2 linked regions of the Macaca fascicularis genome follow. The protein of the gene in region 1 binds, or shares a complex with, the protein of each later gene. Links are inferred from orthologs where the notes say so. Each region holds a gene or a part of one and is shown on either strand. Other genes may lie near its edges.

Region 1 (3,747 bases):
CCCACCCCCCACCATGAAGTCAGGTGTGGAATTTTCCATTTTTGGCTTCACACTGGCACTCAAATAATTTCAGATTTTGGGTTTTCTAATTAAGGATGGTCAACCTGTACTGTGAATCACATTATTATTACATTTTGTGATGAGGGAGCAAACGCTAATGGTGCAGACTTTTAGTAGTAGCAGAGCTGGACGTCAACGCTGTTGTGCCATCTTTTAGTGAGAGGTCTGCATTACAGCAGTGGCTGCAGTCTCTCCAGGGTGTTTCAGCTAATTTCTGTTTGGGGGTTGGTGGTTAAATTTTTGGTGAGATCCTGGTGTTCCCCAAAGGTGCTGACTGATTCAGCTCTGCTGCCCCATAGCCTTCCTGCGTTCCAGCTACAGACCTGGGGTCTCGTGTTCATTCATGGGGTTCCAGTGACTAAACTGCTAAAAGGGTTCACCTGAGAGCAAGAAGCACACTGCCTTGGGATATTTTCATTCACTGCATCCCATCTAGTTGTGCCCAGTGTAGACCAAGAAGTTGATCCAAACCACATAGGACAGAGGCCTGCATGCGTCCTGTTTTGCAAACAGCTGCCCAGCCAGTGGGGAAGCAGTTCATGCTTAAACTACCACCCCCTCCAGCTGTCTTACGCAGCTGGTCCTTGGAAGAAGCTTTGACCCTCCACTCCCTCTTGCAGGTGTCCTTAAATTTGCTCGCTTGGTCAAGTCCTATGAAGCCCAGGATCCTGAGATCGCCAGCCTGTCAGGCAAGCTGAAGGCGCTGTTCCTGCCGCCCATGACCCTGCCACCCCACGGGCCTGCTGCTGGTGGCAGCGTGGCTGCCTCCTGAGAGTTGGCCCTCCCTGTGCCCCTGCCAGGGAAGAAAAGGCCTTGATGTTCCAGACGATAATAAACGTGCCTGTGACTTAGCCTTGGTGTCAGTCTTTTGCAGACTTGACAACCCCCATCTCACCTTCCCAGATTCCCTCTGCCTTTCCAGGCCCCATCCCCATGTACAGCTCCTTCCTATACTCCTGGCTGGGCCTAACCCTGCTCCAGTGAGGGCCTGAGGCTCCTCCCCTTCCCCCAGGGCAGGGTGAGAGGCTGGACTGGGCCCCTCTACGCTCTGGGTGGGTGGGCGGGCCTGCACTGGGGACACCTCCTTCTCTGAGGAATTGGGCTGTTAGGACTTTCCCTTAGGCCCTTTGGTTTCCACCTACTGAGAGCTTTCCCCCATTGGTTGCTCTTCCCTCAGCCAGGGTTACTTCCTGGTCTTTGCTCCTACCCAGCGTCCCGCTGCTCTGTCAGCTTGAGCTCCAGGTGGAGCTCCAGGTGGCTCCTCCTCTCCCGAGGGAAGGGGGCCCTGGCCCAGCGGGCAGGCCTGCTGTACTCCCGCACTGGGGCTGCAGGGAAGCTGGCCACTGTGGGCGGTCTCAGGCCAGCCCCGCCCCACCTGTCCTTTTCCCGGAGACTATTAGTCCAGGGTTTGTCCCTGCGGTGCCATTGGCCTGGCAGGCTGGATCGAGGAGGAAGTGGCTGATTTCTGAGTGGTTCTTCCTCTCCTGGCTTGGGCCGCTGTGCACAGCTGTGCTCCTGGCTCAGCCCCGCCCACTGTGGCCCTCCGCTGTGACTTCCCCATCCCTACAGAGAGATGCTGTCCTGTGGGTAAGTCCCAGGCACCACCTGGGTCCTAGTCTCCTGTTAGTTTTGGAGGGAGGGAGGGCCTTGTTGATGCTCACTCCATCATGTATGTGAGCGTGAGTGCGATCTGCTGCTGCCCTGCCATGCGCCTGCTTCCGATCCCTATAAACCTTCCCCTTCCCGCAAAGTGTGAGGACCCCCAGGCTCACTCATGCCCCTCTGCCCCATCTTTAACATTTTCCGCCTGACAAGTGTGTATCTGTTCTCTCCATTGCATTTCTACTTCCAGCCTCTGGGCTCCTGCTTCTGTCTCCTGCTTAGGACCTGTCCCCCGTGGGTAGCTCACAACACCTGAAACAGCAATCAGAGGCCACCCGCGAAGGCCCTCCCATGCCCAGCCAACTTCCCCGCTCTTCCCAACATCTGACTTTGGTCCCATCTTCCTTCCGTTTCCTTTCACTTCCCGTTCCCCTGCATCATTCATTCAACAGGTACGTGTTGAGCGTCTGTTACACACCAGGTGTTGTTTAAGATGCTGGTAATACTGGAGTGAACAAGACAGACATGGTCCCTGCTCTCACGGAGCTTACATTCCAGTGGGAGGTTACAGACTGAACAAATAACCCAATAAATTGGATCATTGCAGATTCTCAGAAGTGTTATGCAGTAAATGAAACAGCCTCGGCTGGGTGTAGTAGTTCACGCCTGTGATCCCAGCACATTGGGAGGCTGAGGCGAGACGATTGCTTGAGCCCAGGAGTTTGAGACCAGCCTGGCCATATAGTGAGACCCTGTCTCTACAAAAAATAAGAAATTAGCTGGGTATGGTGGAATGCGTCTGTGGTTCCAGCTATGAGCCTGGGAGGTCAAGGCTGCAGTGAGTAGTGATTGCACCACTGCACACCAGCCTGGGCGACAGAGCGAGACCTTGTCTCAAAGAAAAAAAAAGAAAATGAACCAGCTTCATGTGCTAGCAAGTGACTGGGTGTGCAGGTGACATTACTAGCTGGAGGGATCGGGGAGGCCTTCCCGAGGAGGTGACATTTGAGCTGAGACCTGCTTGAGGAGGAAGAGGAGCCAGCCATGTGATGTGGTGATCAAGGCCTGGGCAGAGGAGCATCCCTGGGCAGAGGAGATGGTGAGCACAAAGCCCTAATGTGGGAACAAACAAAAAAAGGACCGTGTGTCCGTGGCAGAGGGCCCTCGTGGAGCAGAGGCAGGGCCACGGCAGGTTAGACCTTGTTGGATCTGGGATGTTGAAAGTGAAAACCTGGCCAGATGAGGTGGTGCATGCCTGTGATCCCAGCACTTTGGGAGGCCGAGATGGGAGGATCGCTTGAGCTCAGGAGTTTAAAACAAGCCTGGGCAACATAGAGAGATTCCATCTCTATTAAAAAAAAAAAAAATACTGGGTGTGATGGCCCAAGCATGTAGTAGTCCCAGCAGTTTGGGAGACTGAGGTGGGAGGATCACTTGAGCCTAGGAGTTCAAGACCACGCCGGGCAACATACAGAGAGACCCCATCTCAACTATGACGACTACTACTACTAAATAGCTGGACATAGTGGCACGCACCTGTGGTCTCAGTTACTTGGGAGGCTGAGGCAGGAGGATCACCTGAGCCAAGGAGGTTGAGACTGCAGTGAGTTGTGATTGTGACACTGCACTTTTCAGCCCGGGTGACAAAGCAAGATTCTGTGTCAAAAAAAGAGAGAGAGAGAGAGAGGAAGGAAGGAAGGAAGAAAGGAAGGAGAGGAAGAAAGAAAGAAAAAGAGAAAGAAGGAAGAAAAGGAAAGCGAGAAAGAGGAAAGAAGAAAAAAAAGAAAAAGAAAAAGTGACAACTGGCCAAAAGAAAGAAGAAAGAAAAAGTGACAACTGGCTGGGCGCGGTGGCTCACGCCTGTAATCTCAGCACTTTGGGAGGAGTTCGAGACCAGCCTGGCCGACATAGTGAAACCCTGTCTCAACTAAAGATACAAAAAAAGAAAAGAAAAGAAAAGAAAAAAAATTAGGCGGGCACAGTAGGGCGCACCTGTAGTCCCAGCTACTAGGGAGGCTGAGGCAGGAGAATTGCTCGAACCTGGGAGGCAGAGGTTGCAGTGAGCCAAGTCTGCGCCACTGTACT
Region 2 (3,747 bases), about 2.6 Mb from region 1:
AAACTTATAGATCTCCATTTATTTGAATCAGTTGCTAAAGCTTTATTCATTTCCTTTGGTGGTGTCATATATGTCTGATGCTTTGTTATTTGTTTATCCTTGTACTGGTGTCTGTGCACTTGAAAGAGCAGACATCTCTTTCAGTCTTTACAGACTGGTTTCGGTAGGTTAAGACCTTCTCCTATTAGGGTCCTGGGCTGATGAGATTGCCTTCAGTGTCATGGTTGAATGGGGTTACAGCCGGATCACATGGTTGCTTATGGGTCCAGAGTGGGATCTTTGGTTCATGATCCTGTTACTAGGGCTTCTAGCAGGCTTGTATCCTCCTTAGTCCCTCAGAGGACCAAACTGGCTCTAGCATCATACTCTATAGGGCTGGGGAGGGAATGAGGGTCCACTTCAGGGTCTGTAGATGGTGGGTCTATTATTAGGTGTGTAGTTGGGGGAGAGTTTATCTAGTTTTCTGGGAAGGCTGCTCATGGGTCTCTGAGTGGGTTCCTCAACCTGTGGCTGAGAGGAGTTAGTGCTAAGTCACAAGGTTTCCTCGGAGTCTATAGCTGAAACCAGTGTCTTCATGTCTGTCTCTGGGGTCATGGATGAGTGTGTTTTCTGGCAGGTATCTGGGCAGGCAAACTTGCTTCAGACTGTAGTTAAGATGGGCTGGAGCTGGATCACAGGATTGTTTCAAGATCTGAAATAAAACTAAGGTCTGTACCTTTAGGGGCACTTATGGTGTCTCTCTCCAGGTCCCTGTGTGGGCAAACTGCTCTCTAGCATAGCTGAGGAGGGTTGAACCCCCTTTTCTGGCCCATTTCAGGATGTGCTGTGAAACCTAGGTCAACGGTCTCCCAGTCGGGACATGGATGCACATGCCCTCCCTCTGTATCCCTGAGCTGGCAAGACTGCTCACAGCCCACAGCTGAGAAGGATGAGGGTCATGATTCAAGGCTGTTTCAGAAACTACCATGGAACTGAAGTCAGCAAGCCTGTACTGCTGCCAAAGATGAGTGAGTCTCACAGCAATTTCCTGTGATTAACTCAGGCCACAGTTGAGAGGAGTTTGAGTGGAGATTCAGGGCCATTTTAGTATCTTCTAGAGGACAGAGGTCAGCAAGCATGCCCCAGGGGAACAGATGTATATGTCTCCCAGGAAGTCTCTGTGGGTGAAAGACTGATCTCAAAAGTTGTGGCTGAGAGTAGCTAAAGCCAAGTTAGAGGGCTGTTTCAGGGTCTACATTGAGACTACAGTTGATATGCCTACCTCCTGAGACACTAGTGTTTGAGTCTCCTCCTGGGCCCCTGGACAGATGGTTTTGGCAGCATGACGAAGTCCTAATGCGGCTGAAGGCAAGTCCACAGGAGGATGGGTCTCTTTTCAGGTCTGGAGATGGAATCACTGTTGGTAAGTCTGCCACTTGGATGCAAATCTATTCTCTAAAGCAACCCTCCTAGGTCTTGGGTTCCACTGGCATTTTACAAACTCCTACTTGAATTCCAAAACTCCCTCAAAGGGAGTTTCCTCCACTTTTGTCTGTGGATGGCTGAAACATTATTGTTGCTGTTGGGGCATATGTGTGGGGGACCACCTATTCTGCCAATTTGCTGACTTTTCTCCTAGTGAGATTTTAAAATTACTTTTTCCCGATACAGAGCCTGCCTTCAGTTTTTGTCATTTACAACTAAATATTTCTTTCGAAGTTGAGATAATTTGTTATGGTGGAGAATGGATAAATGAAGAATATGATGAATAGCTATTTAATATTTCAATCTCTGGTATGCTAATATATTTCAAAATTGATTAATATTTTACCCTTCCAAGATACATTTATTTTCATCAATGGTAATCTGAAGATTAAATAATCTATTTTTTAAAAATTAAATGCAAAAATTTAAGAACTAAGTTAATAACATAACTTTGGCAATGATGGTTTTTGTGTCAGCTACAGTCAACTGAGTAATTACTGCAGTAATTTTTCAGAATAATTAAGGAAAAAATCAGTAGCTATCAGTTGATAATGTTACTATGAGTTTTAGAATGTTTTCTATTATAATGGAAGTGACATAATAAAATAATATAAAGAAAAGAAGTATGCAATGTTAAGATTTAGCAATCTAGTCTAAAAGGCACTCTTAACAAGGTGGGGGTTGGCAATGTTTGTGATCAAAACAGAAAAAAAAATTCTCATAGGTGCTTGAAAAATGGACCAACTAAATGACCCACTTTCAAAGTCAACCTTGTACTTTTAACAGACCAGAGTATCCTATATTTTGGAGGTGTGTGATGAGATTAAACTGATTTCACAATAGCCCATGTGTAGAATTTCCTGTTCAAACCTTAGTAACACGTTGATGAGAAATCTACTTTTTCCACTCTTGACTCACTCTGAGCCTTCACAGGGCAGTCTGCGAAGATTGTAGGCATTGTTTGTTCTTGTCCTGGATTTATGCCTTTAAATTTCACCTTTTATTTCCCAGCTATAGCAGGCCTTTTTGTGAGACTAACCTGGCCTCTCCACTAAAGGATGTGTGACTTTCTGGGGACAGAAGGTATGTGTTGCTACTCTCCAACTCTCTACTAGCCTACCTCATTTAGTGGGTGATTACAAGTGCTCAATATGGTACAAAGGAGGTATAATTAATATACAGTAAAATCAAAGTAGAACATTGCTGTCTTCATTTGAATAACTCAGGGTAAAAACCATATGAAATATGTTGAAGGATTTCTTAAAGTTTTCAAATTCTTGTTTGTGGAAACCTAGTGGGTTTGTTGATCAATATAATTTAAGTGAAACCTATTAACATCACAATAATGAACAATTAATTTTGTATTTTGTAATCAGTACATCATGTATCTTTGAATAATAATTTATATTTAGCTTAGCCATTAAAGATTATTAAAATAAATGAATCAATTGATGAAAGCCAAATACAGTTCCTCAGACATGTAGATTAAATAAAAGCAGTTTTTATTTTTAATAAAAATCACAATGAGGTAGAGTACATAAAATGCTAAAGGTAATACAAAACAATCAAAATACTTTTTTAAAGTTTATCAAAATATTGCAAAAAAAGATGTAGCACACGGATATAGGAGACTTATCTGAAGATTCATTTTCCATTCTTTAACTGACACGAATCAGAAACAGTAACATAACAATTGTGACTAAAATAATAATTAAAATAGCTAATGCTTATTGAGAACTTTAAGTGCCAGGTTGAGTGGTAAATGTTTTACATGCAACGTTTTATATGTTCTTATTCCCGTCTTAGATTAACAAACTGGGTTATTAAACATAGAATAACTTTTTAAAGGTCACACATTGTAAGTGTCAAAGCTAGAATTCATTCTAGATCTCACTCACTCCAGAGCCCATTGACTAAATGATTTAATTACATTATCTGAAATTTTACAAGTACTTACACAACAAAAGTGGCCTTTACTCACCTTGACAACTGTAAAATCTTTCTATAAGTTTAAATGAAATGTGCTTTAACATGAATTACCTATACTTTTATTTATCATTTTTTGGTTCATAATTTAGCCAGGAAATAAATTACCAATTACTTATTAAATTACCAATACTTCTATAAGTATTAACAATTTATGTGGTGTTCCTAATACTATTTAGGTTATTCATAAGTTAACAGTGTCATATAGCATTTCCTGACATGTACAAATATTCACATTTGTAATCATTTTTAGTAATTTAAATAATTTTTAATAATTTCTTAGAACATTTCAACCAT

The links. Proteins that work in one complex are often made in the same cells at the same time.
Region 2: the proteins of PTPN6 (region 1) and KLRC1 are in contact, whole or in part, in an NMR structure (PDB 2YU7), measured with the Homo sapiens proteins. The link is inferred for Macaca fascicularis from reciprocal best matches to the Homo sapiens genes PTPN6 and KLRC1. Residues at the interface, in NP_002822.2 of Homo sapiens: Gly117, Gly118, Glu121, Arg136, Ser138, Leu139, Ser140, Val146, Thr165, His166, Ile167, Lys168, Val178, Gly179, Gly180, Leu181, Glu182, Ile199, Glu200, Glu201, Ala202; in NP_002250.2 of Homo sapiens: Ile38, Thr39, Tyr40, Ala41, Glu42, Leu43, Asn44, Leu45, Gln46, Lys47.

Annotation. Positions count from the first base shown.
Region 1 is NC_088385.1:7,882,552-7,886,298, forward strand, and holds the start of PTPN6 (tyrosine-protein phosphatase non-receptor type 6), read left to right. Parts: upstream 1-1,470; 5' UTR 1,471-1,633; coding exon 1,634-1,647; intron 1,648-2,612; exon of another isoform or gene 2,613-2,761; intron 2,762-3,297; exon of another isoform or gene 3,298-3,485; intron 3,486-3,747. Other genes in the region: C11H12orf57 (protein C10), read left to right, coding at 681-832. UniProt on the Homo sapiens protein: Tyrosine phosphatase enzyme that plays important roles in controlling immune signaling pathways and fundamental physiological processes such as hematopoiesis.
Region 2 is NC_088385.1:10,467,371-10,471,117, forward strand, and holds the start of KLRC1 (NKG2-A/NKG2-B type II integral membrane protein), read left to right. Parts: upstream 1-1,029; 5' UTR 1,030-1,402; intron 1,403-2,369; exon of another isoform or gene 2,370-2,475; 5' UTR 2,476-2,547; intron 2,548-3,747. UniProt on the Homo sapiens protein: Immune inhibitory receptor involved in self-nonself discrimination.